3 linked regions of the Mus musculus genome follow. The main gene of each other region encodes a partner of the protein of the gene in region 2 in a complex. Links are inferred from orthologs where the notes say so. Each region holds a gene or a part of one and is shown on either strand. Other genes may lie near its edges.

Region 1 (10,723 bases), on a different chromosome or scaffold from region 2:
AGCTGGAGTTGGTGACAAGAAAAAAAAAAAAAAAAAAAAACATCGTAAAATGACCCAGAATGCATAAAGATATGGAACAACTCGAGCTGTGGTGCGGGGATCAAAGCTGGACCTGGTCAGGCGAGGTGAGAATCACAGAACGACAGCCGGGCCCTTACTTTTATGCTTGCTTGATTTTGTGTTGTGTGCTGGCTCACTTGGTAGCCCAGGCTAGCTCTCCTGCCTCACCACTCCACCCTTCAGTTCCAGCTTTACAGGTATGTGTGACCATGTCTGGCACCGGCTTCCTTGTTCTTATGTTGTTTAATTTTTTTCCCCAAGATAGTTTTATTTTTAAATGTCAAGCAAAAAACAAGGCTACCCTACAAAGCAGCACAACAAAAGCATGTAAAGGCCACCAAGAGCCCCAAATGCCGCAGACCCACCACGTTTCTCCTGAACAAAAGGCCTTCCTGCACGGCATTCAGGGGACTGAGAGCTTGTCACCCAAAGGAGACTATGCTTTTTGGTTCTCCCCAACATCTAGTCTAAAGCGCAATTGTTTGGTTGAAATTGTGAGATAAGACTCACTCTCTCACTCCAGCCTGGAACTCACTATATAGCCTAGGCTAGCCTCCAGCTCAAAGTGATCCGTTTCCAGTGTTGATCAATTGCTAGAATTAAAAGCATGAACCATTACATCCAACTTCTCTTTGTTCATTTTAGAGATGAAGTCCTGACATATAACCCAGCCAGCTGAAACTAGCTGCCTCTTCAGACTGCAATATCCCTCTTTCCTAGTTCCTCATTCCATTTTCTCTCTTTTTTTTTCTTACTTGTGTTTTTTTTTCTTACTTGCTTTTGTTTTGCTTTGTTTTTGAGATAGATTCTGTCTATAGCTATATAGCTGAGGCTGGCCTTGAACTCCTGATCATGTTCAATCTGCTTCCCAAGTATAAAGAGTATGGGAGTGTCGTGCTATGCCTGACTTTTTATTTTATTGTCATTTTTCTTTTTGAGACTCTGTTAGCCAAGGCTGGCGCCAAGCTCACCGTGTAGTCCAGGCTGGCTCCTGCTTGGCTTTCTCAGGATGAGATTACAGGAGTGAGCCATATGCTGGCATAAAACGTGACTTTGCAAGTAGCCTTCATTCTCATTCCTATTTCGGGAACCAGAAACTGAAAGTTCCAGAGGAAAACTTGCCCAAAGCTGCCCAGCACATACATCAGGAGAGCCCAAGCCCAAGCCCAATTCACTAGATACTGAGAGCATCCTTAACACACTGCCATGGCTTGCATCCTGCCACAGCATCCAGCCACAGCATCCAGCCACAGCTTCCAGCCACAGCTTCCAGCCTATTCCCTCATTCCTTACAAAGGGACTGTAACTCAAAGGTGAGTTCCCACTCCCAAGTATGGTACTGTGAGCCTGTGAGCCTGTGAGCCGGGCACCAGTGAGCTGAGGACAGCAGGATCGTTGTCAGCTACATAGCGAGTACCATGCCAGTCTGGGTTACATGAGATCTTGTCTCAAGGGGGGAAAAATCACACTTTTGTAACAACCCAGGCTCAGAAAAGCCACTGAGCTTTTAATTTCTTCTGAAGTTCTAGAAACAAAACAAAAACAAAAACCTCTTCTTTCTAGAAACAAAAACCTCACAGAAAAACAACCTGAGTGGGTCACACCCAACCCAGAGTCTACCTCAGAGTTCTTGGTTCAGTCCTTAGCAAAGAAAGGAAGGGAGGAAATGGGGGAGGGAAGAAGGAAAGAAGGGAGGTAGGGAGGGAGAAAAGGGGGAAGAAAGGAAGGAAGGGAGAAAGAGAGGAAGGGAGGGAGGGAGGGAGGAAAAAGGACAGTTGGACATTTTGGCTCACACTTGTAATCCCCAAATTTAGAATCTGAGGAGGAAGATAATTGTGAGTTTGAGCCGCCGTGGACTACATATCATGTTCCAGGCCACCTGAGCTACGTTATGAGATTCCATCTCAAAAAATAAAATAAAATAAAATAAAATAAAATAAAATAAAATAAAATAAAAATCCAAAGAGAAAGCTGGGGAGGTTGCTCAGCAGTTGAGAGTACAATCTGCCTTTGCAGAAGAACCTGAGTTTGGTCATCCACACCCATGTCAGGTGACTCACAACAGTCCCAGGATTCCAACATCTTTAAGTCCTTAAAACAAACAAACAAAAACAGAATGAGACTGGGGCTATGCTCCACAGTAGATTCTTCCCTAATGGTGCACAAACCCCTGGGTTCCCCCAGCACTGGAATCCAAAGACAAAAGAGTAAAGTTGTTATTAGTTGTGTAGTTTACATTTTCTAGCAGAGAGGCTGGAGGTGCAGTGTGAATGTGGCTCGGGAGGTCGAGGGCTCCTCTGGCACTGCAGGGAGCACTGGACTCTCTTTCCAGCTAGGAAAGAAAATGTGGCTGACTGGCTGATTGATTAACTGACTGACTGATTGATTGATGAATGATTGACTGGAGACACAGTCTGGCTTTGTAGCCCAAGGTAGCCTTGAATGTGTGATTGCCCCGGCTCAGATTCCTGAGTTCTGGAGCAGCACTGCACAAGGCTGTAAAACGTTCATGACATTTATGAAAGTAGCGTTCTTCTTTTCGAACTAAGTTGCTGTAATCTGTTGTGCATTTTCCAGCCTCCGTTCTCACTAGCAGCGCTGGGAGAGCTCACTGGCCGTATGGAGTCAGCGTTGTACTGGGCAGCAAAAGAACAGAGCAAGCATTTGGGGGTGGGAGGTCTTGGGACAGAACCCAGGGCTTTGGCGATTCTAGGCAAACTCTGTTGCTACTGAGAGAGCCTTCGACACTGAGACAGGGTCTTGAGACGTAGTCCTGCCTGTCCTGTATCTCATTTTGTAGACTAGCTGGCCTCCCAGAGATCCCCCTGCCTCTGCCTCCCAAGATGTTAAAGGCATTCGTCACCACACTGGCCCAGGCAGGTTCTGTCTTATAAACCTCCTTGTGATTTAAGATGAATCTTTTAAAATATAGAGTTTTTTTTTTTTTTTTATGGTTTTTTGTTTCTGTTTTTTGTTTTTTTCGAGACAGGGTTTCTCTGTGTAGCCCTGGCTGTCCTGGAACTCACTTTGTAGACCAGGCTGGCCTCGAACTCAGAAATCCGCCTGCCTCCGCCTCCCAAGTGCTGGGTTTAAAGGCGTGCACCACCACTGCCCAGCTACTGTTACCTTTTAACTATGTATGTCTGTGTTTGTGTGTATGAATAGGGTCTGTGGGGCCAGAAGAGGGCGTCAGATCCCTGGAGCTAGAGTTACAAGTAATGAGTTGCCTGACCCAGGTGCTGGGAATCAAATTTGGGTTCTCTGGAAGAACAATACATGCTTTTAACCAAAGGGCCATCTCTCCAGGACCCAGTTCTTTCTTTGTGACCACTGAGCCCTTGATCAGCAGGATGGGGACATTCTCAAGGCCTCTTGACCTTTTGCCTAAGATCAAGTGTAGTACAGACATTCTCTGTTGTGATCTCATTCCTCTTTATTCTAGATTTTTCTTTTGCTTTATAGGAAAGGAAAGGAGTTGTGCCGCTTTAAGGTGTTACTAGGGGCTAGAGAGAGAGCTCTACAGCTAAGAGCACGTGCTACTCTTGCATAGAAGGGTCCAGCTCCCAGCACCCACATCAGGTGTCTCACAACTGTCTGCAACTCACCAGAGAACCTAACCCCTCTGCCCTCAGGCACACACACACACACACACACACACAGACACACACACAGACACACACACACACACTTAAAGATAATAAGATAAAAACTTTTAGCCGGGAGTGGTGATGCACACCTTTAATCCCAGCACTTGGGAGGCAGAGGCAAGTGGATTTCTGAGTTCGAGGCCAGCCTGGTCTACAAAGTGAGTTCCAGGACAGCCAGGGATATACAGAGAAACCCTGTCTCGGAAAAAAAAAACAAACAAATAAACAAAAAAAAAAAAAACCCAAAAAAAAAACCCAAAAAAACCAACAACAACAAAAAAAATTTTTAAAGATTTTTTTAAAGTGTTACTAGTTGCTTTAATTTGCTTCTGTAAAACTAAGCGTGCAGTGTTTGTAGATATAGCTCCTCCATGGCTGCCTGAGCAGGCACGAGGGAAAACACATAAGTGTCCCAAAATGATTCCGGGATTCTAAATTTATTATAGCCAACAAAATGAAACAAAACAAAACCCCTCTTATTTGTTGGAGGAGCTAAGATTTCCTCCTTGACGGTGTTATTTACTCTGGGGTGGGAAAGAATGTCTGTTCTCTTTCTGCCCTGTTATTGTTCTGTCTTGACAAACTCCATCCGGAGAAGAGCAGATTTTCTCTGGCGGAGAGCCACATGTGGTGGAAAAACCCTTTACTCTTAGGCCCCCATCCTAATCTGTCTGACAACCCTCTGACAACTGACCAGGGTCACCAACCCCCACGGTGACCTTTGGAAGGAAGTGTAGGACTGCTCAACTCCAGAAGGAAAGGAGGGGCTGGTGAGTGAGCCATTTCCCCGACTGTCCTGTGTCCTGTGACAAGGATAAGGTGCCCTGCCCCTGCTGTTTGCACTCCTCCCACTGCCTGAGGTCAGCCTTAGCACCCGAAGAACATTAGAGGGGGACAAAGATCCCACCCCCAGGGCCAACTTGGAATTTTCCTGGAGATTTTAAAGACTTTAATTATGTGTATGTGTGTGTATGTATGCACACGTATGTTCACATACCCACAGAGGCCAGAAGAGGGCATCTGGACCGCCCCTGCCCCCCCCCCCCCCCCGAGATGCAGATACAGGTGTCTGTGAGCAGCCAGGGGTGGGTGTAGGGACCTGAACCTGGGTTACTGCAAAAGCAGCGGGTGATCCCAACTGCTGACCCATCTCCCTAGCCCCCGTTTTCTGGGGGATCTTAGAGCTCTCTTCTCATACAGGATGGCCCTTGGGGACAAAGGTTGCCCAACAAGGTATCTTCGCCTGTACATTCGTTTCTATCTAAATAATGCTAATGTAAGTCCCTGAAAAACTAGAATTACTTCTTTGAAGCATAAAAGAAGTTTCTGAAAACTTAGGAGGACTGTTGATCCTTCTTTTCTCCTTCCCCCCTCCCCCAACCCTGTTGCTTAAGCTTTTGTTTGGGAGGAGACTAGGAGGACGGCAGCAGAGGGCAGCCGCCTACCTGGAGAAACCTGCAGTTACGTGTGTGGCAGGAGCCGGAGTGGCTGGAGTCGCGGGATGGTCAGGAGGCGGGCTGAAAGTTGGAGTAAGCAGGAAGTGAAGCTGTGGCTGCCTTGGGTGGAAACAGACTAGGCGAAGTTCTGCTTTGAGAGGCCCAAGTGCTCCGAGACATGGTGAGTGACGTGGGGACCAAGAAAAGAGCGAGTTAGAGCAGCTGCCAGAGGGGGATCGGGCCTGGGGGTTGCCTGTGTCGAGAAAGGTAAGTTGGCGGCAGTCAGAGGGCTGGCGGGGTTGGGCCAGCGCTGCCTCTGTCTCCTTACTTTTGACAACTCCTCCACAAATAGCTCCGCACTCCGGGCCAGGGGTTCCTGACACTTCTCCACCTCCTTCCTCCCGTGACCTCGGTGCTGGATCCGATCAGGATTTCGGTGGGGGTTGGGGGACCCAAATTCCAAGCCGAGCTGCTGCGCCGCGCCCTCCCCCTCCTCCGCCTCCTCCAGCTGGGCCTGAGCCCGGTGTTGTGACATTACCGGGCCACAAGCGTTCCTGCTCTTTGGGGCTCAGATTCCAGCCCCGCGGACTGGAGTTCTCCCCCTTACCCTCGCACTGTATCTATGCAGACACCCAGAGGATCTATCTGCCTGGCCACCAAAAGCACCACCCTTTTCTAGAAACATTAGCAACAGTGCCAAGGGTTTGTAAAGCAGCCAGATGGCGGTTCTTCCCGATAATCTAGCTTCAGCCCACACCCGTGGCCGGTACCTGAGGCCCCCTGGGTCCCTAAGGGAGGAGTCAGGCCTCTTCCCTCCTTGTTCAAAAGCCTTATCTAGAGGCCTCCTGGATAGAGCGACCGCAGCAGGAAGGACTTTTATTAATATCTGCATAAGCAGGCGGTGGTGTGCGGCCTACCAGGCGTTAAATTGTGGGGAAAGCAGAAGTATATGGTCCAACGGCACATGATGCCTTCTGGGGGCCACATCCACTGAACCGGGGCTACACTGCCCAGTAGGCTGGAACCAGAACTCACCAACAGCTGTCTGGAGAAGGGCATTTATTTGGGTTGGGCCGGGCAAGAGTGTGCTGCTGGTCAACTCTCACAGTTTTAGAGAGAACCCACTAGGATTGAGCCGAGGGAGGCTACAGGAACCAGTTAATAGTTCTTGGCTGTGCTCTGCTGAGGAAACGTCAGCTGGGTTTTCTCCTTGACCCTCTTTGTGGAGTCAAGACAGGGGCAGTCGTGTGCTGTTTTTTTGTTTGTTTGTTTTTTGTTTTTTGTTTTTTTTTGTTTTTCCTTGTCACGCTGAAAATCCTCCAAAGAAGGTGGATGAGAATCCAGGGTCAAACCTCATCTTCTGGGACTTAAAAAATGCACTTACATGGCTGGCAGCCGAGATGGCTGGGCAGGTACAAGTGTTTGCAGAGCAAGCCTGCCTGCCTGAATTCAGTATCCTGCTCTCTCCTGCCCATCCAACTGGAGGAGACAATCCACTCATGAAAGTTGTCCTCTCACCTCCACATGCGTGCCGTGGCATGTGCATACACGTATATTCCCCAGCACACACACACACACACAATGCACTTATGACAGACTAAGGATGTGGTTCAGCTGATAGAGTGTTTGCCTGGCAAGCGTCAAGCTCTGGGTTTCATCCCCAGCACCTCATAAAACAAGGATAATGGTACACACCTGGAATCCCAGCCCAGGGTAAGTAGAGACAGGGGGTCAGATGTTTAAGGCCATCCTACTTAGGAAGCCTATGGCCTGCCTAGGTTATATGAGAACCTGCCTCAGATAAATAAATCTGGGGAGGTGGCTCAGTGGGCTTGCTACGCAAGCATGAAGATTTGCATTGGATCCCTAGACCCATTTAGAAGGAAAAAAATTCCAGGTGTGGTGGTGCAAGCAAGCACTTAGGTGGCTCCTAGTGCTAGGGTGGTGGAGAAGGCTGAGCCCTGGGGCTTTTTGTCCACTCTAATCTCAGAGCCTCAGGCCAACAGGAGACCCAGCCTGTGGGGGAAAAAACAAGGGAGGAGTGACACCTGACCACCCGAGGCTGATCTGGGATATAAACGTGCTTGCATCGAAGTGAACATTTACGTAGAACATTCTCCTGGTAAACAGTTGAAGCATCAGAAACGGCTAAAATCTACTTTAGTTCTTCCAACCTCCTCTGGCCTCTTGGATCCTCTGCTGCCCGGCCTAATTAACCCCTTATTGACATCCAGGAGGAGGCCAGTGGGAGTGCCGGAAATGACCGAGTTAGGAACCTGCAGAGTGAGGTGGAGGGAGTCAAGAATATTATGACCCAGAATGTGGAGCGGATCTTGGCCAGAGGGGAGAACCTGGACCACCTCCGAAACAAGACAGAGGACTTGGAAGCCACGGTGAGATTGGGAGAAAACTGGGAGTTGGTGGGGGCAGATCTCGGGGAGGGGGAGAAGTTTGGGTGGGGAGGCAAAGTGAACAGAAGGGACTGCAGACTGTCATGTCTACTGCCCTTTTGCCTATGCAGGAGATGGCTGAGGTTCCACCTCTGCTTCCTTGCTACTCTGCTGGCTGGTAGAGAGCCCAGTGAGTGGTTGGATTTGAGCTTGGGTGAGGGGCCCACCCACAGAGCCATTTCTGAGACAGTTCAGTCAACTGCTCCATTCCTAAGCTTCATTGGGGTATGAAACTGATTTTTGTCTCAAAGCTTGCCCTTGGCAACCATTTGGAGTTGATGTCCCAAAGGCAAAGTTATGAGTTCCGGGCAACCCTTGGCCTTTCAGCATTCTCCCTCCAGGTGTAATTAGGCTGGAAGTTGGTGGGGGGCGTCTTGCTGAGTCCGCTTTAAAGCACAGCTGGGAAGACCAATGAAATCCTTTAACCCCAGGATCCCTGTGTGCAAAGGCCAAAATAATATCTCCCACACATCTTGCTTAGACCTCCTCTTTGCTGCCATGGACTGAGGCCAAGCTGCTCAGGGCAGAAGAAAGTCTAACACAAACCAAGGCTGGGGCCTCAGTTTTCACTTGCTGTGGAGTACACTGGCTTCCTGGGTCCATTGGGTTATCTTGGAATCTAGTGCCTCCTGCAGCATAAGCTGGGCACATGGAGACTTAGTGTCTGTATTAACTTGGAGAAGCAGGAGGCTTTTTTCTTTCTTCCTTTCTTCCTTTCTTCCTTTCTTCCTTTCTTCCTTTCTTCCTTTCCTTTCCTTTCTTCCTTTCTTCCTTTCTTCCTTTCTTCCTTTCTTCCTTTCTTCCTTTCTTCCTTTCTTCCTTTCTTCCTTTCTTCCTTTCTTCCTTTCTTCCTTTCTTCCTTTCTTCCTTTCTTCCTTTCTTCCTTTCTTCCTTTCTTCCTTTCTTCCTTTCTTTTCTTTCTTTTCTTTCTTTCTTTCTTTCTTTCTTTCTTTCTTTCTTTCTTTCTTTCTTTCTTTCTCAAGACAGGGTTTCTCTGTGTAGCCCTGGCTGTCCTGGAACTCACTTTGTAGACCAGGCTGGCCTCGAACTCAGAAATCCACCTGCCTCTGCCTCCCAAATGCTGGGATTAAAGGCGTGCGCAACCACGCCCAGCTCTTTCTTTTAAGTTTCTGCAGTGCTTTGGTTCTTCCTTCAGCTTCTACAGAACTCAGAAGACAAAGCAAAGTATCATTGAGCCAGGACATGTGCCCATCTGGAGCACATTCCTGTACCCCTTAGCTTGTGGGTCTGTGCTCCAAAGGCCAGATTTCTCTACCAGTCAAACAAACTCCAATTGTGAGCATATATCTGTAAAAGACCCCTTAGTATGCAGGTTAGTGCAGGGGCAAGAAAAAGAAGGGAGACTGGACATAAGACTCAGGTGGTAGAGTACTTCACTAGACTTCACGAAGCCCTGGGTTCAGTCCCTGGCACTATATAAATATGGTATTGTGGCACACGCCTGTAATCTGAACTCTTTGAAGGTAGAGGCAAGTGGATCAGAAGTTCAAAGCCAGGCCATTGAGATGGCTCAAAAGGTAAAGACACTTGGTACCAAGCCTAAGGATTTGAGTTCCATTTGTGGGATTCATATGGTTGGTAGTCTTGATTCCTATAAAATGACCTCTGACCTCCACTGTGGCTTGTGCACACCACACACATAAACAAACAAACAAATAAATATTGTTTTTAAAAGTTCAAGGTCGCCGGGCATGGTGGATTAATCCCAGCACTCGGGAGGCAGAGGCAGGTGGATTTCTGAGTTCGAGGCCAGCCTGGTCTACAGAGTGAGTTCCAGGACAGCCAGGACTACACAGAGAAACCCTGTCTCGAAAAACCAAACAACAAACAAACAAACAAACAAACAAAAGTTCAAGGTCATCCTTTGCTACAAGGAGTGGAGGCCAGGCTTTGCTGTATGAGATCCCGACTAGAAAGATAGAAACAGAAAAGGAAGGGACCCTGCTATGCTCAGAGGGAAGTTTTATGAGTTCAAGAATTCTAAACTAGAACTTGGCTTACAGATTGTTGTAGAAAGACATTTGTGAAGCAGCCAGAGATAGACAGATCTCTGAAGCTCCTGGCCATCCAGGCATACTTAGTGAGGCCCTGTCTCAAAAGTAAAACAAAACAAAACAAAACAAACAAACAAAAAAAAAAAAAACCAGAGAGAGATCAGTGGGTAAAGACTTTTGTCAGCGAGCCTGGCTGCGTGGGTTCAATCCCCAGGACATACAGAGGAGAAGAGAGAACCATTTCCTGCAAGTCGACCCCTCTCCACCACGTGGGCAGTGTGGCACATAAGGCAGAGGCACAAATACATGTTATAAAGTATTTTTAAGAACCTTTCCATTCCTATTGTAAGAGGAAAGAATTGTTCACTTATTTGTGTTTTTATTTCGAAGTGGCTATCCTCCAGCTCCAGCGTCTTTTTTTCCGTTTCCTACTTCGATTTATAATGTAATGTAAACATCTATACTATGGCATGTGGTGTCCGTCTGTACTCTCAGTCTGAGGGCAGGAGCTCACGACTTTATCTTATCCCCAACAGTCTGAACACTTCAAGACAACGTCCCAGAAGGTGGCCCGGAAGTTCTGGTGGAAGAATGTGAAGATGATTGTCATCATCTGTGTGATTGTCCTTATCATCGTCATCCTCATTATACTTTTTGCCACTGGTACCATCCCCACTTAAGAGTCCCTTCCATCCCACCCTACTCCTCAGGGGTGACCTCCCTAATATGTGCCAAGAGGAGCCCTCTCCTGTCCTCCTCCACCCAAGTGCTGCTCAGTCCCTGTGAGGGCCTTCTGCTGCATCAGATGCCCCAGACGCACCTTGATCCCCTGGGAGGAGACAGCTGGACTGTAGCTGCATCTCATGGTCCTGAGAGTGGGTTACAGAGACCCAGAGGACCCTGTCTGTGGCTGGGAAACTGTTGGTGGCTGGTGGGCAATAAAGACCTCTTGGTATCCCTAAGTGTACGAGGCGCTTTACTCCTGTGTCTTTCAAGTGTCTGTTTCTTTCTTTCTGAGGAACCCCTCCAGGCTGGTTTCTCCCAATCTAGAACCAAGATAGTGCAAGGATTGAGCACAGGTTTAGTGAAGAAAGATGGCAGCTCAGAGGCTTTGC
Region 2 (10,125 bases):
GTTTAGTGACCACATCATTACCTCCCAGATACCAGATGCCTTAACAGACTCTGGGGATCCTGGAGAGCGCCAAAAAGAAATGTGCGTGTTCGTTCTCTCTCTCTCTCTCTCTCTCTCTCTCTCTCTCACACACACACACACACACACACACACACCCTTTCCCTCTGTCTCTCTCTCCCTTCTAGCTTGCTTTCTCTCCCCCTTTCTCCCCCTCCCCCTTTCTCCCCTCCCTCCCTTTCTCCCCTCTCTCTCCTTTTAATGAGTTTGTTAAACTGAGCCTTGCATGCCTGAAAATAATTATTTTGGCTTCACCACAGATGATAACTTGCCTAGGTATGCACCAGCTCCCGAGTACTTTGAAGATGTTCCTATCTTTTGATATATTGCTTTGATGAAAAGTTGGCTGCTTTTGTTGTTTTAATTTATCTGTTATCTCTGGTTTGCTCTTTAAGATCTTTTTCTTTGTCCTTGATGCTCTGAGTTTCCTATCATGTGCTTAGGTAAGTTTGTTTTTATTTATGCTAGCAGGATTTATGCATTTTTAAAACTTGACATCTGCCTTTACTTCTCAGCATAATTCCTTTAAATTCTTTCTTTGGGCTGTTTTTTGTATCCGTTTCTATTTGCTACTGAGCTTGTGAATTTATGTCCTTTATCTTCTCCTTTACAGTCTTCATCTTGTCATCGTCCGAGTTCTGAGTCCTCTCTCCAGCTAGGTGTGATTTCTTATTTATTTTATCTTTTGAGGTTTTCAGTTTAGAAAGTTTTAATTCCTCTCATGTACCAATTGGACTGTTAACTCTTTTGTAGCATTATTTTAATTTAAAAAAAGAGCCCACTCCTTTATGTCCTTTTGAAAATTTTATTCCTTTATATGTCTTTGTAGATTTAGGAATAGACATTTCTTTCTGAATCACTTTCTCATCTCTGTATCTGCCTGTTGTTATTTTCTGCTGTGGTCTGAGCCTATTTCTTTTGATACTGTACTTCTATCCATGTGTCTCTAGTTTATGTCTGCTCTCTGATTCAGTTTTAACCCTGATCTTGGTGCCTGGAAATTTTCCCTGAGAGCTTGTGTTAGGCATAAGAATCAAGTTCTTTGCTGGGCAGTGGTGGCACACGACTTTAATCCCAGCACTAGGGAGGCAGAGGCAGGCAGATTTCTGAGTTAGAGGCCAGTATGGTCTACAGAGTGAGTTCCAGGACAGCCAGGGCTATACAGAGAAACCCTGTCTTGAAAAACAAAAACAAAAACAAAAAACAAAAAAAAGTTCTTAGCCAATGGGTAAGGGAAGCAGCTTTAACTATAGCCATTGTTTGAAGATTTTCAACTGAAAGAAAGGAGAAAATCAGCGCATTATTTAAAGCAGCTCTTGATGTTTGGGGACATTAGGTCTCTTTGAGAATCTGAAAATAATGAATCCTAAAGAGTCAGGATCTCACAGAGTCTATGTGTAAAAGTGTATCTTTACAAGGCCTGGGTAAGAAGCCATAATCCAACAGAATTACATGTTCAATATGACTATGGGCTAAGGGGGTGACATCAAGGCATGATATCATTTGATGGTGTTCAAGCTTGGTTAAGCAGGGAAGCACATATTTATATAAGATCTGTTACAAGTACAAACTTATAAAACTGCTGTAAGTAAATGTCTCCAGTTAATGCCAGTGTGGGGTTTTAGAGCATGCTCACTTCCAGCTCCCACCTCTCCTGTCCTGTTCCCAGAGGCATATGCTAGGACTTTCAGTATGGCCATAGAATCCCGGTGACCCAGAATAATGTCTTCATACTTATATGTCTGAAGAGAATCTGGTTCTTTGACTTTTTAAGTATATGTATTTATTTGTGTGTGTCATGCATGTGCTATGGTGTGCATGTGGAGGTCATGCATGTGCTATGTCATGCATGTGCTATGGTGTGCATGTGGAGGTCAGAGGAAGGCTTGTGGGAGTCAGTTCTCTCCCACGTAGGACCTGAGAATCAGTCTCAGGCTGTGTCTTGGCAGCAAGCGCCTTTTCCCACTGAGCCATCTCCTGGCCTTGTAAGTACGGTTCTTATTGGAGTTCTGTTGCTGGTTACTTAGTAGATCACTTCGTCTAAGAAGAGGAGATAAGGGCCTTCCGTGAGAGGAGTTCTGTATTGTGAAATGTGCTTGAAGTATATAATTACACAATTACATTATGATGACATTGGAAGTGGAGCTTGATACAAGCAGAAATGTTAAGAGGGAATTTTTTCCTTGCAGGTTTGCTATTTGGCAGTTTTTAAAACGATGGCTGTTCTGTGCCCAAACATATCAGGAAGCCATCCTCTTTTTTTTTTTTTTTTAAAGAAAGAGAGCATGGCTTATTGAATTGTCTCCTGTCTTTTTTTTTTTTTTTTTTTTTTGGTTTTTTGAGACAGGGTCTCTCTGTGTAGTCCTGGCTGTCCTGGAACTCACTCTGTAGACCAGGCTGGCTTTGAACTCAGAAATCTGCCTGCCTCTGCCTCCCAAGTGCTGGGATTAAAGGTGTGCACCACCACGCCCAGCTGCCATCCTCATTTTTAGCACACATACTGCACATTATAAAAGACCTCAGGAAACAGCCACAAAATGTAGAGGAGACGCTGCAGAATAAGGAGGTCATTGACAGCTTCATTTTACTCTGTTCATTTTCGTATTTTCTTTAAGTTTTTAATTGTATTTTAATTGTGTGTGTGTGTGTGTGTGTGTGTGTGTGTGTGTGTGTGTGTGAATAAGTTCTTTCTTTCTACCATGTGGGTCCCAGATATTGAACTCAGGTCTTCAGGCTTGGTGGTAAGCCCTTTTGCCCACTGAGCCATCTTGTGGTCTCTCATTTATACACATTTTCTGAACATTCTAGAGTAAGCTTGGAAGGTAGAGGCAGGAGCATTGGGCTTCCCAGGCCAGGCTAGACTTACATAGGTCCATCCTGCCTGTGCTGTAAAAATGAACACTATTTGAAAAGTGTTCAGGAATGACTAGATACAATTTTCATGAAGAGAATATTTTAATAACTATCATTTCATAGAGAAACAAAGCTATACACGTTCAGTTTTGGGTTTATATGTATTTAGAGTAAAGTATAATTGCATATTTTTTGCCTTTTATGTTTTAAAATTTTATTTTATGTGTATGAGTGTCTGTCTATGAGTATGTCTATGCACTATATGTGCAGTGCCAGAAAGGGCCAGAAAATGGTGTCAGACGCCCTGGAACTGGAGTTACTGACGGTTGCAAGTCATCACGTGGGTGCTGGGAGCCAAACCTGGTTCCTCTGGAAGAGCAGCCAGTGCTCTTACCCTCTCCAGCCTTGTATGTGTTTACTTTTAAAAAGAACGGAATCTGTTGTAAAAGCGTTCTTCAATGTTCCCCTTTAGGTGTTTCTGTTTGAGAGAAGAGAGCTGCTGCAAGAGGAAGTAGCGGCTCATCAGGCTTCAGGATGTCTGAAGATGAGGAAAAGGTGAAGTTACGCAGGCTTGAGCCAGCGATACAGAAATTCACTAAGATCGTGATCCCAACAGACCTGGAGAGGCTAAGAAAACACCAGATAAACATCGAGAAGGTGAGTGTTTCATTTCTATCACAGAAGCAGGTACCTGTGTGGGTTCTTCCTTGCTGTCTACGTTTCAGCTACAAGGAGAGTCTGAGGCTTTTCTGAGACCCCTCCACCCTGCTTATAGCAGCATTACTTTTCAACTGGTCTTCAAGTTCACAATTGTAATTCTCAAATATTCCTTTTATTATGTTGAGGAAGGGAGATGGGAGTAGAGTTTATGCCTTTTTAATTTACATGTGGAGGTCTTAGATAGTAATTAAATCACACTGTTTGATGGTGCCCCATAGTGTGAAGGTGGGGTGCTGTGGCTAATGGACCTGCCTTAATCTCATTCACCCCATGGCTAGTGTTTTGAACTTGTGCCTATCAAGAACTTCTATCCTCTTCAGGTGCACATGTAAACGATGTAAACAATTGTGTGATGTGAGGGAATTTCCTTTCTTCACTGCTTCTCTTTGACAAAGGATCCAAATTGAGAAGTTCTGCCAAGGCAGATGAGCTGCTCAGAGGCCCTGCCCTGGCCAGGGTGTGATGTGGGCCTGTGATGTTTACCGAAGCCTCAGGTTTACTGAGAACTGAGCTTTGACTTGGAAAGGTGGGTTGTCATCTGCTTTCAGCACTGAGCTGTGTCTACCTCTACTTCTTTATTTTTATTTTTATTTTTATTTTTATTTTAGGGTTAGAATGGATGGTGTGGTTATTAAGCCTTTCAGTATCAGCTGTATTTACTAAAAATACCAAAGTTTTTCTTCTACTGATTTTTCTAGTATTTAAGTGCTTTTAAAAAACACAAAAATTAATTTCTAAGATGTCTACAATGAAACTTTCTCTAGGAGTCTTCTAGAATTCAGGATTAATATTTTTCCATCCCCATTTCTTCTCTTCTTTATATATGGAGCATAAGCGATGGCTCTATTGCATCAGGATACAGAAGGAAGTATCTGCTAAACTGCTTCTTGCACTGGAAGAAAGTGAAAGCTCAAAAAAACACGGCTAATGAAACCTTTTACCTTGAGTTGAGCAATCCAAAGTAAACACGTCAGCTTCAATATTTCTCCATTACAAAGGATAAGAATTAGGTAGATGAACTGAATCTGAAAGGGAGAAACAAGAGGTCTGTGAGCTCTTAAAGCCATTTCCCCCTTTATTGTCCTACTCTAAGTTTGACATTTAACATATGTTTCTCATTTTGCATGGAAATGCCTGTTGTCATTGCCCTTCAATCCTAGCTACAAGTGTATGTGATCCTATCAATGGGAAAGGGGGAACCCCACAGCAAATCGGAGGAATAGGGAATAGGGTTAGATGCATTGGTGATTGGATTAGCTGTACAAGGTGTAGTAAGAGAATTACCCTGGAGTTAGTGCCATCGATCCTGCTTTGCCTGAACATGTTTCTTTTAGCAGTTTTGCTTATTATGAAACCTTCAGACGTTATCAGATGATTATCCTGGACAGATAGATGGTAATGTCTAAAACCAAGAAAGTAGGCTCATACTGATTTATGCTTTTGTCTTTAAATATCCTTGAACATTCACTGTCTGCAGGGTTTCTAGTTTGCTTATGAAAACTCCTCTTTCTGTGCACAGGCTTGAATGGTGCATTTTGGTGGCTAGGCTGTGTTATGAAGCACACTTAAAACTGCAGCCCCTCACTCTGTTCAAAAGAGTTAAGAACTAAATTCAGGCTCCAGGTGTCTTACGTGCCTTACTTTAAAAGAGGCATATTCTTCTTGAGGAAAAGGTGTAGAAAGATAAAATATTTATTATTCTGGCCATCAGTCATCCAATATGAATTTAAAAGAAGAAAGCCAGACTGAAGGGAAATTGAAGGTAAGCCTTTTGTAGAGTGAGTCTGCAACAATGAAAACAAAGAGAGCAGTGTGCTGGGGACACCTGGGCCATGTGCATAGCCCTGCAGGGGGACCCTGGACACATGATGAGTGTTGCTAGCATGGGATGCTGACGTTTGAAGCCTTAATGTGTGAGAGGTGTAGTCCAGTAAGGAGGAACTGCAGGGTAGCCAACTTGGGACACAGTTGTCTTTGTTTCATATTGTTGGGATCTAAAGAGAAACATACTGTGTGGGATGTACACAGGGTTCTTGTGAATTAGTTTATGGGTAAGATGCAAGTGGCAGAAACCCCCTAAGTGGCTTATCAGATAAGGTGGAGTTTGTTTGCCTTGGATTTGCCTCCGTCTCATCTCTCATGGCGGTGGAAGTTGTCCATTACCTGCAGGCATGTCCCTCACACCAAGCTTCATCCTCCTAATGATCTTATTAGGGCTTTTTCATTTTGAAGGTAAATTCCTCAGTAAAGAAGGTGCAGGAAGTATGGCGCTGAATAATTTTACTTTCTGTCTTACATCTGTTAATGACACGCACCCCATCATTTGCCTCCTGTTTTACATCTGTTAATGACATGCACCCCATCATTTCCCTCCATCCAAGCTTTGTTCTTTGTTCAAATCTCCCAGCTCTGATTCTTCCTGTGGGGTATGCTCTGTAATGTCATCACTTCATATTAAACGCACTATCTTGACACAGCCTGTTTACAGATTTAATACCTGTGTTTTAACTGCAGTCTACCTATTGGAGTTATTTTATCAGAGGTGAGGCTATAGTAGGGATAAAGTGGGGGGCTAAGAGGGCTGAGTGTACTATGCATTATATGACCATCCATCTGACCTAAGTGAAGGAACGTGAACAGGAAGACAGCAGAGAGCACCAAGGGATTCCTGGCCCGGGCTGCTTGCAGTATCCCATCTCATCTTTGTCCTTATTAGGTTTGGAGTCCAGGATCCCCAGCTGGCCCTGCAGAGAGGGTTATCGTCCATGGTCATGGACAGTTGCTTGAGCATGTAGGGATGTAATGTGGCAACTACTTGCAACTCCCAACAATTGCTCTCTCCCTACTACACTCTGTAGGGAGTTGCCTGTACCTAGTAGCTCTGGATGCCCACCCTTCCTGGAGTACAGGTGCCTGTGGCCTTCAAGCACCCCCTGCCCCGAACTCCCAGTCACCTCTGCAGCCTCAAAATTGTCCCTCTGGCTGGTCTGCCGAATCCACTACAGTGTGTCTATGTTCTTCCCAGCTTCTGAAGTTTGCATAAAAGTTCTCGTCTGTTGGTGTCCTCTGCTGGGTTCTCGCTGCTCTTGTGCATTTTTACTTCTTAATGTTCTTTATTGTACTTGCCTGAGATTTTGAGCAGAGATGAATGTTCACATTCAATCTGCCAGGTTTAATGAGAAACAAGATTATTTATTACAGGAAATAAATATTAGCTTTGTGTTTGCTGTTTCTCAGATTGTTTGCATTGAATAATATGTAAAAATAGATTTCCAATTCTCAAGAAGTTTGCAGTTCAGTTAAAGACACAAGATAGGAAATAATCAAGAATGATGGAGGCAGCATGTGACTGTGTGTGGAGTGGGAGACGTGGACTCAACAGTCAGCATGCGCCTGCACCCAGCAGTACCCAGCAGTACCCAGCAGCACCCAGCAGCACCCAGCAGCACCCAGCAGCACCCAGCAGTACCCAGCAGTACCCAGCAGTACCCAGTAGCACCCAGCAGTACCCAACAGTACCCAGCAGCACCCAGCAGCACCCAGCAGTACCCAGCAGTACCCAGCAGCACCCAGCAGTACCCGGCAGTACCCAGCAGCACCCAGCAGCACCCAGCAGTACCGAATGAAAGAAGCAGGGATACTGCTGTGCTACTTATGTACTTGCTCATATTTGCTTGTTAGTTTGTAATCAGAGCGAATCCCCTCCCATCCTGTGACTGTCTCCTTTACCAAACTCACATGGGGAGTGATACTGGATTTGGTAAATGTGATCATTTACTTCTTGTCCATGTTTGGTTATCAAGGATATAGCTATATCTCACAGTTCTGGCTAGTGAACCTTGATCGATTGCCTTGTAGAAATTTGGAAACTTCTAGGAATATTTTCCTACTTAAAAAAAAGATATACATATAAGGAAACATTTGCATTTCTTCCAGTGGTCTAGCTGTGTCTTCCTGTTGAATCTGGAAATATAGCCAACCAAGCTGGATTAGGGCACAATCGAGGGTGTTATTGGAAGTAGTAAAGCAGAAAGCAGCACCCAGGCATGTGACAACCTTTTAATGTCTGTATTGAACCACTGTCACATCCCTGGGATGACTGCTACACTCTTGGCTGCTTTCTGTGTTTGTTGTTGGAGCCATTTTAAAGTTCGTGTTTCTGTATTTTGCAACCCAAAGCATAATGTGGTAGTTTTGCCTTAATTTACCTGCCTGTTCTGCTGTGCAGATAGACAAAGACCATCTCCTATAAAAGCCAGCAGTGTAGAGGTGCTGGCCAGTGGCCCAAACTTAACTACAAATTTAAAAGTTGCTGCTTCTAGTGTTTTTACGTATATTAACTCACCCTACTTTCTACCACGCCCCACCAAATAGTTGGGATAATAACTTTCATAGTATATCCTAATTTCACATAAACTTGAATAGTAGGCAATAGCAATGTGAATTCTTTTCTCCTTTTCATTTTTGAAATTCACTGTATTAAGGGATAATGCCATTGAGGCAGTAATCACTTCTCCAGCCTTTTTGAGATGTGGGTAAATAATGACAGCAGAAGCAAAGGCCGCTGCTTTTCTTTGCTGAGAATTATGTTACAGGTTTCCGTATGTTATAACATTTCATTTTTCAATAGATTTATAGGTCAAATATTATTGATGCTTTGTCTTCTAGTTTTTTATGTTTATTTATTATTAATGTGATGTACGGGGACACACATGCCATAGTGTAGATGTGGAGATCAGAGAACAACCTTTGGAGTCCTTTCTCTTCCTTCTGTGTGGCTCCTGGGGATTAAACTCAGTTCTTGGGCTTAGGGCCAAGCCATTACCTGCTGAACCATTTCACCAGCCTAAGTTTTGCTTTTTGAGACAAGGTTTCACTATGTAAGCCCCAGCTGGCCTTGACCCCTGGACCTCCCTTTTCTAGCTCCCCAGTGCTGTGACTCCAGGCCTGCGTTGTCACACTGCACTGTGTGTTACGTTGTAGGTGGAGAGACATTGAGAGCAGATCAGCTGCATATGTGGAGGTTGCTATGTTAGTACATATGTCTAATGTATACGTTCTTGAGAGTGCACTTCCAAGAAGGGCACTCTCTTGGCTCCACGGCAGAACCTCATATGCACATCATTGTAATTGTCACCAAGTGCGGCACTGACCTCTCATCTGTGCTAACTCATCCTTCTTTTATGTCACCTGTGAATTTGATAGTTATATGTTCTTTATTTTGAAGTTATCAGTGAGAGTGCTAGACAGAAAAGGGACAAGGTCTCTGGTTCCCCAAGGTCTGGTCTCTCACACCATCTCCATCTCTCAACTAATTTTGTAAACACTTGCCTGAAGATTTACATTAATATTTATAGCCCAGGTCAGTCATTTTATATATATATATATTCTTTGTGAAATTAGGTCAACATTTGCAAATATTAGGAATTTCTCCAGTTCTTCATAAATATACATAAGTATTTGCAAGGTTTCCTGGTTTACTCAGATGTCATTTTCTTGTGCCTGTTGATTTGAGCTCATTTGAAGTGAGTAGGTTTACTCTTTCTTGGTTTTCTCCCCTCCCTCCCTCCCTCCCTCCCTCCCTCCCTCCCTTCCCTTCCTCCCCCCTTCCTTCCCTCCTTCCCTCCTTCCTTTTTCTTTTAGGAGAGAAGGGGTTGAATTTGCTAACGATAGAACACAGAACCTCTTGGATGCCAGGCAAGCACTGCAGCTGTGAGCTGTATCCCTAAGCCTGTTGTTGTTGAGATAGGATCTCCCTAAGGTGCCCAAACTGGTCCTGAACTTTTGGATGTCAGGTAATCCTCCTGTCTCAGCTCACTGGTTAGCTGAGATTGCAGGCATGTTCCTTCATACGTAGTTTTATTTCCTCCTAATGACTTATTAGAACTTTTCTACTTTGAAGTTGAATTCCTCTGTAAAGAGGGTAGAGGAAGATAGAAGGCGCACCGAAAAGCTTGGCTTTCTGTCTTATGTTTGTAATGGCATGCACCTTACCATCCGCTACCACTCAAGCTTTGTTTTTTGTTCAGACCCCAACTCTGGTACTTCCTGTGGTGTATACACTGACTAATGCCATCACCTCAGACATAAGCACACAATCTTGGCACAGCACTGTGCAGTAGACCTTGGCATTTATATATTTAATGCCCATTTTTGACTATTTGGAGCAAAGCTGCAAATATCTGTGTTTCCAGACAATTATGATGGTGAAATAATAATTGCATAAAACCATCATAAGGAGTAAGATATTGGATGATGGGACTGGAGAGTTAGCTAAGTAAATAAAGTGCTTGCCAAACAAGTGCGAGGACTGGAGTCTGCGTCTCCAGAGCCCATATGAAAGCTAAGCAGGTATGGTGGTCTGCTTGAAATCTCAAAACATGGAGAGGCAGAGACAGGATCTCCAGCGAGTTTTAGTTGGAGTTCCTATTGCTGTGATTAATAACCATGACCAACAGCAAGTGGGAGGGAAGCGTTTATTCTATCTTACACTTC
Region 3 (10,125 bases), on a different chromosome or scaffold from region 2:
GTATCAGAATTTAATGAAACAGCTTACAATGGTAACAGCAGCAGAATCCCACCTGAGAGCTGAGGACCCTGTACTTACTCAGGCCTTGCGACTGAAGGCCTCAGCAGTGAGAGGAGTCCTGCAACAGACATCTCTTACCAGGAGTCAACCACACTGCTCACTGAGTCTACAGGCTGGGCTTCAGTCATCCCAGTCTCTGACAGAAGCCTGGAGGTTCTGCAAAGCCTGCTCCCTAGTTGAAAATGAAAGCTTGGAAATGCTGGTTCTGCTATCAGTGAGGGAATCAGCAGCCTGATAACAGGGCAAATCCATTTTTTCTGGGATACCAGAAGGTGCTGCATGGGGGAATCTTCCCACACCAGTCAAGGCAATTTGGATAGTTCTTTGGGGACTCAGGTGGTTCTAATTTGTGGCAAGTTGCCATTAAAACTAGCCATACTACCAGGCATGTTGTTATACATGAGCATAGAGGCAACTGGGAACCAAGTGTTCAAACTTGAACCTATGGAGGCCACTTTCAGTGTTCTCTGAATTCTGTATGACTATGCATGTTCACTTGCACACATAAGTGCATATACACCACACATGAACAAATAAGAGAGACCTGATGGCTATGCATGGTAGACACACCTACAATCCTGGCCCTCAGGAGACAGAAGTAGGAGGACTGGTGAAACTTTGAGTCCAACCTGGGCTACACAGTGAGTCCCAGGCTTAGCTGGGAAAACATGGGGAGACTTTGTCTCAGAGAGAGACAGACAGACAGAGAGACCTGATGAAGGAAGAGTCAGAAGTCAAGACAGACTGATGTAAACACAGTTTATTCTGGAAAGGCTCAAACCAAGGAAGAAAGAGAAAACTGAAATGTACAAGGCCCAAGGAAAGCCATTTCACTGTCATGCCTTGAAGAAATACAAAAAGATCCTCCATCCAAAGACATAACTTGAGGGCATTAAAAGTGGCTATCTATTGTGTGGCACATGCTAAAAGGGTAAAAGGAAACAGACATTCTATAGAGAGATTGGCTTCAGTAGTTAGTGCTGGAGGAAATGCAGTCAGATCCTCTGTATCACTAGTCCCATATCTTTTAATTCAACAAACTGATGGTGTAAGATATTCAGAAAACAAACAAAAATCATAGCCCAGTATGGTAGCATCCAAGCACTGTAGGCAAGGCAGGAGGGCAAATGCCAACTGAACTGTACAAGATTTTGATTCTTCTCATTAGTTCCTAAACAATAAAGCAGCCATTTACAAAGTACTGACTTTGCTTAAATATTGTGTGATACAGAAATGATTTCATATATGAGAGATACATTGAAACTGTATTATTACACAAGGAATTTGGGCATCCCCAGCTTTCGGTATCTCAGGAGGATCTTGGAACAAATCGCACACAGATAGTCAGGGACAACTGCATGCTAAACCTACTAAGAGATATTTCCCCCAAAGAGAGAAACTAGTGAATAGGAATGGTGGTTTACACTTAATCCTATCATGTAGGAGACTGAGACAAGAGAATGGCCATGAGTTCAAGTCCAGACTGGAACACCATGGGAAACTGTCTGGGGGAGGGGGAGAGGAGGAGGGAGAGGGAGGGAGGGGAGAGAGAGAAGAGAAAGAGGAGAGAGAGAGAGAGAGAGAGAGAGAGAGAGAGAGTAGCACACAACTTGGGAGATAGAGACAGATGGTCAGTAGTTCATGGCCAACCTCAGCGCTACTTACCAAGTTCAAGACCAGCCTGAGCTACATATGATCCTGTCTCAAAAGAAGAGGGAGAATATTTAGTATATGTTTAGAAATGAAATTTCAAGGAACATTTCTTAGGCACACATACATTGCCTAGCATTTTCTTTCTGCTTGTTAAAGTGAAATGACAACATAAAAATCAATTTCAAACAGAACAAAAAAAATCTTTAATTTTGTAACATAACTCCATTTCCTCTGGTTTCTTTGAGACAGCCTTGCTATATAGCCCTGGCTTTTTTTTTTTTTTTTTTTTTGCCTCCTGAGTGCTGGGATTAAAGGCGTGTGCCACCACGCCCGGCCCCTGGCTGGCTTTGAATTCATGATCCTGCTGCCTTAGCCTTCCAAGTGCTGGAATTTCAGCTACAAATCACCACACCAGACAACAATTTTGATCTTTGCTTTTTTGTGTGTTTTGTATGGTTTTATATGGTTTTGTTTTATTTTATTTTGTTTCTTTTGAGATTGAGCCTCATTTATCCCAGACTGGTCTCTAATTCATCTTGCTCCATGTGCTAGGATTACAAGCATGCACCACCACACCTGGTAATTTTTAATCTATCTCTGCTAGCTTGGCCAGGTGTAGTAGCATGCCCATATAGTCCCAGTTATTTCAGAAATAGCTTGAACACAGAGTTTGAGGTCAGCTTGTACAGCATAACAAGGCCTCCCCCTCTCTCACATACACACACACACACACACACACACACACACACAGGGTAAGAATTTGTGGGATACCTCGACAAAAGAGTGCTTGCCTCGAATGCGCAAGGCCTGGTTTCAATCAGAATAATAATAATTAAAAAAAAACCCTACAATAACAAAACAGCCTGTCCCTAGAGCCCACCTGTGAGCCTGCAGTTTTGCGTTGACAGTTCCTCTGTTATATATATATCTTTTTACATATCTAACCAAGTGACTTGTAAGTTGATGGTCCTTGATCTGTTAATGTTGAGGGACCAGCTCAGACCTGTCATCTCCAGCCTGTAAACCTGTCCTGTTCCCACTCCTGTTCCTCTGCACGGCCTCAGAGCCTTTCACCTCCTTTCTCCCACCCCGTTAGTCCTTTCCTGGTGTTCCTAGGGACATATCCCTAGGACTTTCAAAAAGCATGTACCAATTTCATGAAACAGCAACAACTGTGCCTCTGGTATTTTTTCAGAACTAGACTCGGTCCCCAAAGAACCTTCTTCTACTGTGAATACTGAGGTTTACCCAAAGAACTCGACCCTTCGAACTTATCACCAGAAGATTGACAGCAACCTAGGTAAGTATGGGAGCTGCTACAGCCTCCAGGCAGTTTCTGCTGAGCACAGCAAGAGCACCCAGCACTGACACTTCATTGTGTAGATGCAAGTCACACCCCACAGCCATGTCCCTCTCACTGCCTCACACCTCAGGAATCTGTCCACTTCTCCATTCCTACATCAGTCCAGCCAAGCCATCTCCACTGCTCATGTGAATCCAGACCAGACCTAGGCGTCTCTGGGGCTTAAGTGCATCCAGGATAAACCACACAGCTTTTGCATGGATGCTAAGGATCTGAACTCAGGTCCTCATGCTTGCTTGGCAAGTGCTCAGACCCACTGAGGCATGTCCCAAAACTAACCAGCTACTTTATCTCAGCCTTCTTTTCCTGTCCTTATTGTCCTCAAACCCAAGAAGTTTCATGAGGCATGGGTGACTCTTTATTTTACTTTCCAGAAAACACAAGGTCTCAGGTTCCAGCGACGTCAAGAAACATAGTGTGCCAAGCTTAGTCCCAGCTATCTGGATGGCTAAGACGGGATTGCAAATTCAAGGCCAGCCTAGAAAATCTGTGAGCTCCTGTCTTGAAATGGAAAGTGTAGAGAGACTAAGGATATGACTAAGTGTCAGTGTGCTTCCCTAGCATGTGCAAGGCTCTGTGCTTGATTCTCCAGCATGCAGGGCGGAAATGCCAGTGTAACAGTGACCCCTGTAATCTTCTCAAGCAGAAGAAGCAGGGAGGGCTCTGTGGCTTCCAGGCCAGCCTGGACTGCTTAGCTACAGCCAGAGCTATAGATCAAGACTGTACTTAAAAAGCAAACCCTTAACAGTGGCTGTCTAGAGGGAGGAGATACACAGTGGTCTCTACCAAATTCACCACATATCACTGTGTAGTAAATATATTTCTTTTCACTTCTGTGTACTCTGAGAAACATATGCTACAAGCTGTGGCACACAGCTTCTCAGGCAGGACTCTGTAGTTGAGAGGCACTGTGACAGCCTGTCATTTCCTTCTCACAGATGAGCTGTCCGTGGGATTAGGCCACCTGAAGGACATAGCCTTGGGAATGCAGACAGAAATTGAGGAACAGGATGACATCCTTGACCGACTGACAACCAAAGTGGACAAGCTAGATGTCAATATAAAAAGCACAGAAAAAAAAGTGCGGCAACTCTAGAGACACGGAGGAGGAACTCTGCTCCATCCTGATGAGAAGATTCGAAAGGCTCTCTTAAACTCATGGATGTCACTTATTACAAGTGTATAATATAACGTGTTTTCAAATGTGGGTCTTTGAAATATTAGTTTCAATGGGGGAAAAAATGTGTGTTCCACATTTGGTAAGACCAGTAGTTCTAAAATTATTGAGCTGTTCTGCTGAGTTTTAGTCTAAGCTGAGTAACTGTGAACACCTTGAGCCTTTGATCACTATGCTGGAAGGAGAAAAAGTACTGCATTTCTGATTTCATGTGTGTCTGCAAAGCCACGGGCAGAGTGTCAGAACTACTGCCTTTCATTTACCCATTTGTTATGTTTCTCACTCCGAGGCCTTACTGTGAATTCAGATGTGAAAGGACCCTGGGTTTGTGACAGAAGAACAGGTCCTTCCACATCTTTATATGACAAGTCTTGTGGACATGCCTGCACACACACTGAGCACATGGCAGCTCTCTCCCCTGAAAAGGATCCATGTTCATACAGAACGGAAATGTGTTGCCTTCATTGTCCCTATCCCCATCTTCTGTTCTTGTCCTGCACTTTAGCAGAAGGACTCAGAGCAGAACTGTTAGGCCCCTCTTCTCACCTGTTCTCACCTCATCTTTCCATCTCTGATGGGGACTTTCTCCACTGGCTCAAAGCCAACTGGTAGGTTGGTTTGTGTGCATGGAGTATTACTGAGCCCTCTGCCTCTGGGAATAGAACCAAAGGCCTTGTTTATTCGGTGCCTGGAGTCTCCTCATCCATCCCAGATTCCCATGCATTCTCCATAGCTACGAAGTGTTCCACCTAGTTTAGGGACTTCGACTCCACAAATGATGCTAACCTTCTGTCTGTCAGATGATTCGACCAAAAGGCCCAGAGACTATCTTAGCTAGCTTGTGTCCACTCCCTTCAGTTTCCAAAAGAAAATATTTAGAAGTATTAATTAAAATTGATTCTTGCAAGAATTTTTCCTTGTACTGCCAATAAAGTCACTGAAGCCACAGAACACCTGACTATCTTAAAATCAAACTCACATATTTTGAAGAAGGTAAAAGAGACTTACTAGTAGATATGTCAAAATCTATAATGCTGGTGCCTTCTTGCCTTAAAACTTGGCTCATGTGCCATTTGAGGATCCTTCCTTTTGCATCTGGAGTCTGCAGTACCTTAAAGCAAAGCAAGCAGTGGGTTCATCTCAGTGGTCAGTTATCTACTCTTCTCTCTCGGGGCCTGGGGTTGGTCTCCACCATTGAGGAGAGGATCAGAAAATGGGGTAACAGGATTATTACTGTTCATGTAGCAATATGTACACACTCTTGTCAAAAATTATCCAACCTTTCTGAAAATACAGCAACCACAGGGAGAAAGGGCCCAAATCTGAAATCTGACTGAAGTGGACCTCTGTGAGTTCCAGGACAGCCAGGACGATATACTAAGATCTGTCTCAAACAATATAGAGAGACTGATCCATATGTATTTCCACTAATTGGTTTTGTTTTGTTTTTTTCTATAAAACCTTCCAAGTGTTATAACTGTTTCTCTTCATCACTATCAGGCATAGCCTTTTAGAAATTGATCAATATACCTCAGTCCTAAGAAATTTACACATGAGAATGCCTTCCATGGTCATCCTAGTGTAAATCAGCTAACTTGAGGCAAAGGGACATTTTATGTACCTTTCTTTGTTTTGCTAAATTAATGAAGCCAATCACCCCTTTCCCAATCTTTTTTTGCTCCATGAACATGAAACAGTCTTCCTGTAACCATTAGAGGTCCTCATCCAGTCTGTTCTTCAGACTCTGTGGTCCACTGAAGTTATCCCTTGGCCTGCTGGAGACTGGCTGAGGCAGATGCTGCCTTACAAAGCAGGGTTGTTTGGAAGACACAGATACAAAGGACTTGGGGAAACTCCAGAGCCAGATCTGCTGGCTGACACAGTAATCACAGCACTTAGGCCAAGGCAGAAGGGTAACCATGAGTTCCAGGTTCAGGGTGAGATCTTGTCTCACCCTGAATATCAGTGGTTGTGTGTGTGTCGGGGGGAGGGGGGTGAAGGTGGGCAGGGAGGGAGGGAAGAAAGACTCACTCCTGCGCTCTGGCTTAGGAAGAGTTAGTGTTGGCGAGGTGGCAGGCAGAAGTGGAATGGACTTTCTGTCTCACAGACCAGTGAACATATCCTTGTCATGTGAGGTCTGCAAGACAGACTGAAGCACCCTACCTTCAGAAAGGTGGCATTTGTAACTTTAGGTTAGCTATGTGTATGTGTGCTACCAAAACAAGTGCATTGTCCTCTGGAGAAGACTAACCGTTACTGACGTGTAACTTAGCAGCATTAGAGTGACGTCTTCAGTTGGTTTTCCTCATTCTGTAGGAGAGGCCTGATGTTCATTCATGTAACAAGTAAAACAAGAGAGCAGAGAGTCTTAATTTCCCTTTCTCTTCTTATAAATGTGCAATTTTAAGTGTATAATGTATCACTTCAGTAAAAAAAAAAAAATCTACTTTGCTTGACTAAGCCCCTTTCTTCAGAGAGGTGTGCCTGTGTGATAGAAGAGGGGAGGAGAGGGGAGGAGGGGAGGAGGGAGGGAGGGAGGGAGAAGGTGAACCTCAGATGTTGTTCCTAAGGCCCTGCCCACTTTTTCTCACTAGCCAGGAACTCACCAGCAAACCCCAAGCCACCCTTTCTCCCTCCCTTGTGTTGGGATTTCAAGCACACAGTGAGGATATGTGTGCTTTTGATAAGTTTTCTTACACAGGTCACAAGATCTGTGGATTGAGTTCAGGTCCCCATGCTTGTCATTTGGCAAGCTTCCCCAACCCTATGCAGGACATTTTTAAAGAGTTTTACTTTTTGTTTTATTTTGTTTTGTTTTACATTTATTTGTATGTCTGTGTATGAGCTCCAGGGGACATGGAATCTTTTAGGAGTTGGTCCTCTCCTTCCACCCTTTAAGTTCCAGGATCAAACTCGGATCATCAGGCTTAGAGGCAAGGCCTTTACCTGCTGGGCCGTTTTGCTGATCGTTCTGTAGAAGTTTTGAAGTTTACTGATGTTAAGCATCTTCAAGTCCAGTGAATGAGCCTTTATATACAAAGTGGTAAGCTACCAGTGAGCATGAGAGCACATCCCTGTAATTGGAGCACATGGGGAGTAGAGCCAGGAAGATCAAAAGTTCAAGGTCACCATCAGCTACTACCAGCAAATTGAGAGCCAAACTGGGCTTCATGAGACCATGGCAAAAAAAAAAAAAAAAAAAGGCAGAAAAGTAAAGCCATCATTAAAGGCACTCATTTGGCAGGAGGTGAAAGAGTCTTTGTCCTGTCAGATTAGCTTCCATCCCCCAGCCCTCAGTTCAGAAGATGAGTATCAGGAGGTTAATTTTTAATCAGAACCTATCTACATGCCACTATCAAATCATGGGTGGAGGGGGGAACCCTCCTTAGTTAATGTGTTTGGTCCTTGAGGCCACATTTAGGAGCCCTCTAAGTTGAAGATAGCCAGGTGGTAAGGCATGTGTTTGGCACATAGAGGGCCATGGGTTCAATCCCCAGCACCACTACTACTGAAAAGATAAAAGTGAGTCAGAAACCCAATGTCATCAGAAAGCTTGTCCAACCTGTAGCCATCGTCTCACCCCTCTGCAGTTTTCTGCTTTGCTTGAATGAGCCTTATCTTCAGGGTGTGTGTGTGTTTCTGAATTTGGAGGTTGGTATAATCATTAAGAGAACTGGCTGCTCTTCCAGAGGACCCAGGTTCAATTCCCAGCATCCATGAGGTAGTTTACAACCATCTGTCATTCCAGACATACACAGGTTACACAGACATACATCCAGGCAAAACATACACATAGATTTTTTTTAACCTGAATTTGTTTTTTTATTTCCTAGCTATCCATCTCAGTAAATGCTACCACCTCTTCTCTAGTGCAGTGGCTCAAGATGAAATGTCTATCGTTACCAGTTTCACTACACTAAACATGCAGAGGAGGTAACAGAGAGCTCATGGCTCACAGCTCTGAAGGCTGAAGTCTAAGTTTAAAAGGCCACACCATCATCATCAGGTCCTCTCTTTAAAAAAGTGTGTGTGTGTGTGTGTGTGCGCACGTGCATGTGTGCGTGTGCGTATTGTTCTTGTGCCCCAGCATAATACATGTGGAGGTGTCAGGACAATGTTCAGGAGTTGGTTCCTCCATCATTTGGGTTCCAAAGGTTAGGCTTGGAGGCAGGTGCCTTTACACAGTGAGCCCTCTCACCAGCCTGAGCCTTATGACTTTGGGATAGAAAACTTCTTGAAATGACAAAAATTTAAGTGCTCCAAGCTAGGCTTCCAAGCTGGCTCAGCAGCAATTAAGATCATCTAGCTGCTCTTCCAGAGATCCTGAATTCAATTCCCAGCAATCACATGGTGGCTTGAGATTTGGTGCCCTCTTCTGGTATGCAGAAATACATGCAGGCAAAATACTGTACACATAATAAATAAATCTTTAAAAAAAAAAAAAAAGTGTGCCACGCCCATAGTGCTACGGTCTCTGTAGCACTGTCCATTTCTCATAGTAGCACAAAACCATCCACAATACACAAATGAGAGTGCCTGTGTTCCAGTCAGACAGTATTTATAAACATAAAAACTGAATGTTATTTCACAAACTATTGTTTATTTTCCATCCACTTTAAAAAAAAAAATCAGGGGGCTGGCGAGATGGCTCAGTGGTTAAGAGCGCCGACTGCTCTTCCAAAGGTCTGGAGTTCAAATCCCAGCAACCACATGGTGATTCAAACCATCCGTAATGAAATCCGATGCCCTCTTCTGGAGTATCTGAAGACAGCTACAGTGTACTTACATATAATAAATAAATAAATAAATAAATAAATCTATCTTTTTTTTAAAAATCAGAATCTTTCATTTCATGGGAGATAGAAAATGATGCCAGTGGGTCATAGTTTGTTGCCTCCTGTTTAGACTTAAGAGGTAGGTCTGTGGAGAGGGAAAGGCCAGTGTGGGCTGCAGGCAGTTCCGTTTTGAGGCTCCTGCCAAGGAAGAGGATGGGACAGACATCACTTCCACTGTTCTGTCTCCATCTTTGCTTGAATGGTATAGGAATTACCTGGCACCCTCAGGCCAGGCCAGGATACCTATCTGTTTGCCAGAAGGCTAGCTTGTCCATGTCCTAGAGCCACACTGCTCTTCTTGGGCCAGTCTGAAGTAAAACAGGCTCTAAGAGCCCTAGTGGGGAGTTACAACACTGACCTTCAAAGATGATGGTGTCTAAGTAAGAAAATGGCATCATCATATTTGTATGTTGAAGGGGCCATAAAGACAGATCACAACGTAAGAAGAACTGCAAAGTGAGTTCAAGGCCAGCCTGGCCTGTAGAGGGAGTTCCAGGACAGCCAGGGCTACACAGAGAAACCCTGTCTCTTATAGAAAAGGGGAGGAAGAAAAAAAGAAAGAAGAAATTAAGAAGAGGAGGAGAAGAGAAGGGAGAAAAGGAAAGGAGGGAGGGAGAGAAAGGAAAGGAAATACATAAAGATCCCCTCACAGGTATGTCCAGTCATTTGGGTTTCAGTTAATCCCAGATGTAGTCAGGTTGACAACCAAGAAGAGCCATCACACCCTGTCTCAAAGTTTGGGGTGTGGGAGGGATCATCTAGAGTATCCTTTCAAGGCTCAGAGAACACTGAGAAAGAAGAATTAGAAGGAGTGGAAGAGCCAGAAGAGGATGGGGAAGTGTGTTGCAGAAAGCTGTCTTCTGGATGTGGCACGCCTTGCACTTGCTGCAGCTGTGGTCATCCTCACGAGACCTGCACACAATAAGTCTGCCAACACCACAGAGCTAGCTCATGAGACTTCATCCCTTCCTGAGGACCGCTGATGTCTAGGGAAGGGGTGTTGCTCTCTCCAGTGCTGTAGCTACTGAAAAGTCGAT

What was found.
Region 1: the proteins of Stx17 (region 2) and Vamp8 are in contact, whole or in part, in a crystal structure (PDB 7BV6), measured with the Homo sapiens proteins. The link is inferred for Mus musculus from reciprocal best matches to the Homo sapiens genes STX17 and VAMP8. Residues at the interface, in NP_060389.2 of Homo sapiens: Ser171, Trp172, Thr174, Leu175, Asp178, Leu179, Glu181, Leu182, Leu185, Val186, Phe189, Leu192, Val193, Gln196, Glu198, Lys199, Ile200, Ser202, Ile203, His206, Val207, Ser209, Ala210, Asn213, Val214, Glu216, Gly217, Thr218, Asn220, Leu221; in NP_003752.2 of Homo sapiens: Gly9, Val13, Leu16, Gln17, Val20, Glu21, Val23, Lys24, Met27, Thr28, Asn30, Val31, Ile34, Leu35, Arg37, Gly38, Leu41, Glu42, Leu44, Arg45, Thr48, Glu49, Leu51, Glu52, Ser55, Glu56, Phe58, Lys59, Ser62, Gln63.
Region 3: the proteins of Stx17 (region 2) and Snap29 are in contact, whole or in part, in a crystal structure (PDB 4WY4), measured with the Homo sapiens proteins. The link is inferred for Mus musculus from reciprocal best matches to the Homo sapiens genes STX17 and SNAP29. Residues at the interface, in NP_060389.2 of Homo sapiens: Glu170, Trp172, Glu173, Leu175, Glu176, Leu179, Ile180, Ser183, Val186, Thr187, Phe189, Ser190, Val193, Asn194, Gln196, Gln197, Ile200, Ile203, Ala204, Val207, Asn208, Ala210, Ala211, Val214, Glu215, Thr218, Leu221, Gly222, Ala224, Ala225; in NP_004773.1 of Homo sapiens: Arg52, Thr56, Ser59, Thr60, Arg62, Ser63, Leu66, Glu69, Ser70, Val73, Gly74, Ser77, Glu80, Leu81, Gln84, Val87, Leu88, Thr91, Met94, Val95, Lys97, Met98, Asp101, Leu102, Ile104, Ser105, His108, Ile109, Ser111, Ile112.

The regions. Positions count from the first base shown.
Region 1 is NC_000072.6:72,385,075-72,395,797, reverse strand, and holds Vamp8 (vesicle-associated membrane protein 8), read left to right. Parts: upstream 1-5,130; 5' UTR 5,131-5,321; coding exon 5,322-5,324; intron 5,325-7,377; coding exon 7,378-7,536; intron 7,537-10,144; coding exon 10,145-10,288; 3' UTR 10,289-10,577; downstream 10,578-10,723. UniProt on the Homo sapiens protein: SNAREs, soluble N-ethylmaleimide-sensitive factor-attachment protein receptors, are essential proteins for fusion of cellular membranes.
Region 2 is NC_000070.6:48,128,383-48,138,507, forward strand, and holds part of Stx17 (syntaxin-17), read left to right. Parts: intron 1-3,380; exon of another isoform or gene 3,381-3,382; 5' UTR 3,383-3,444; coding exon 3,445-3,567; intron 3,568-3,955; exon of another isoform or gene 3,956-4,156; intron 4,157-9,273; exon of another isoform or gene 9,274-9,425; intron 9,426-10,125. UniProt on the Homo sapiens protein: SNAREs, soluble N-ethylmaleimide-sensitive factor-attachment protein receptors, are essential proteins for fusion of cellular membranes.
Region 3 is NC_000082.6:17,424,129-17,434,253, forward strand, and holds the end of Snap29 (synaptosomal-associated protein 29), read left to right. Parts: intron 1-2,908; coding exon 2,909-3,013; intron 3,014-4,014; coding exon 4,015-4,172; 3' UTR 4,173-6,698; downstream 6,699-10,125. UniProt on the Homo sapiens protein: SNAREs, soluble N-ethylmaleimide-sensitive factor-attachment protein receptors, are essential proteins for fusion of cellular membranes.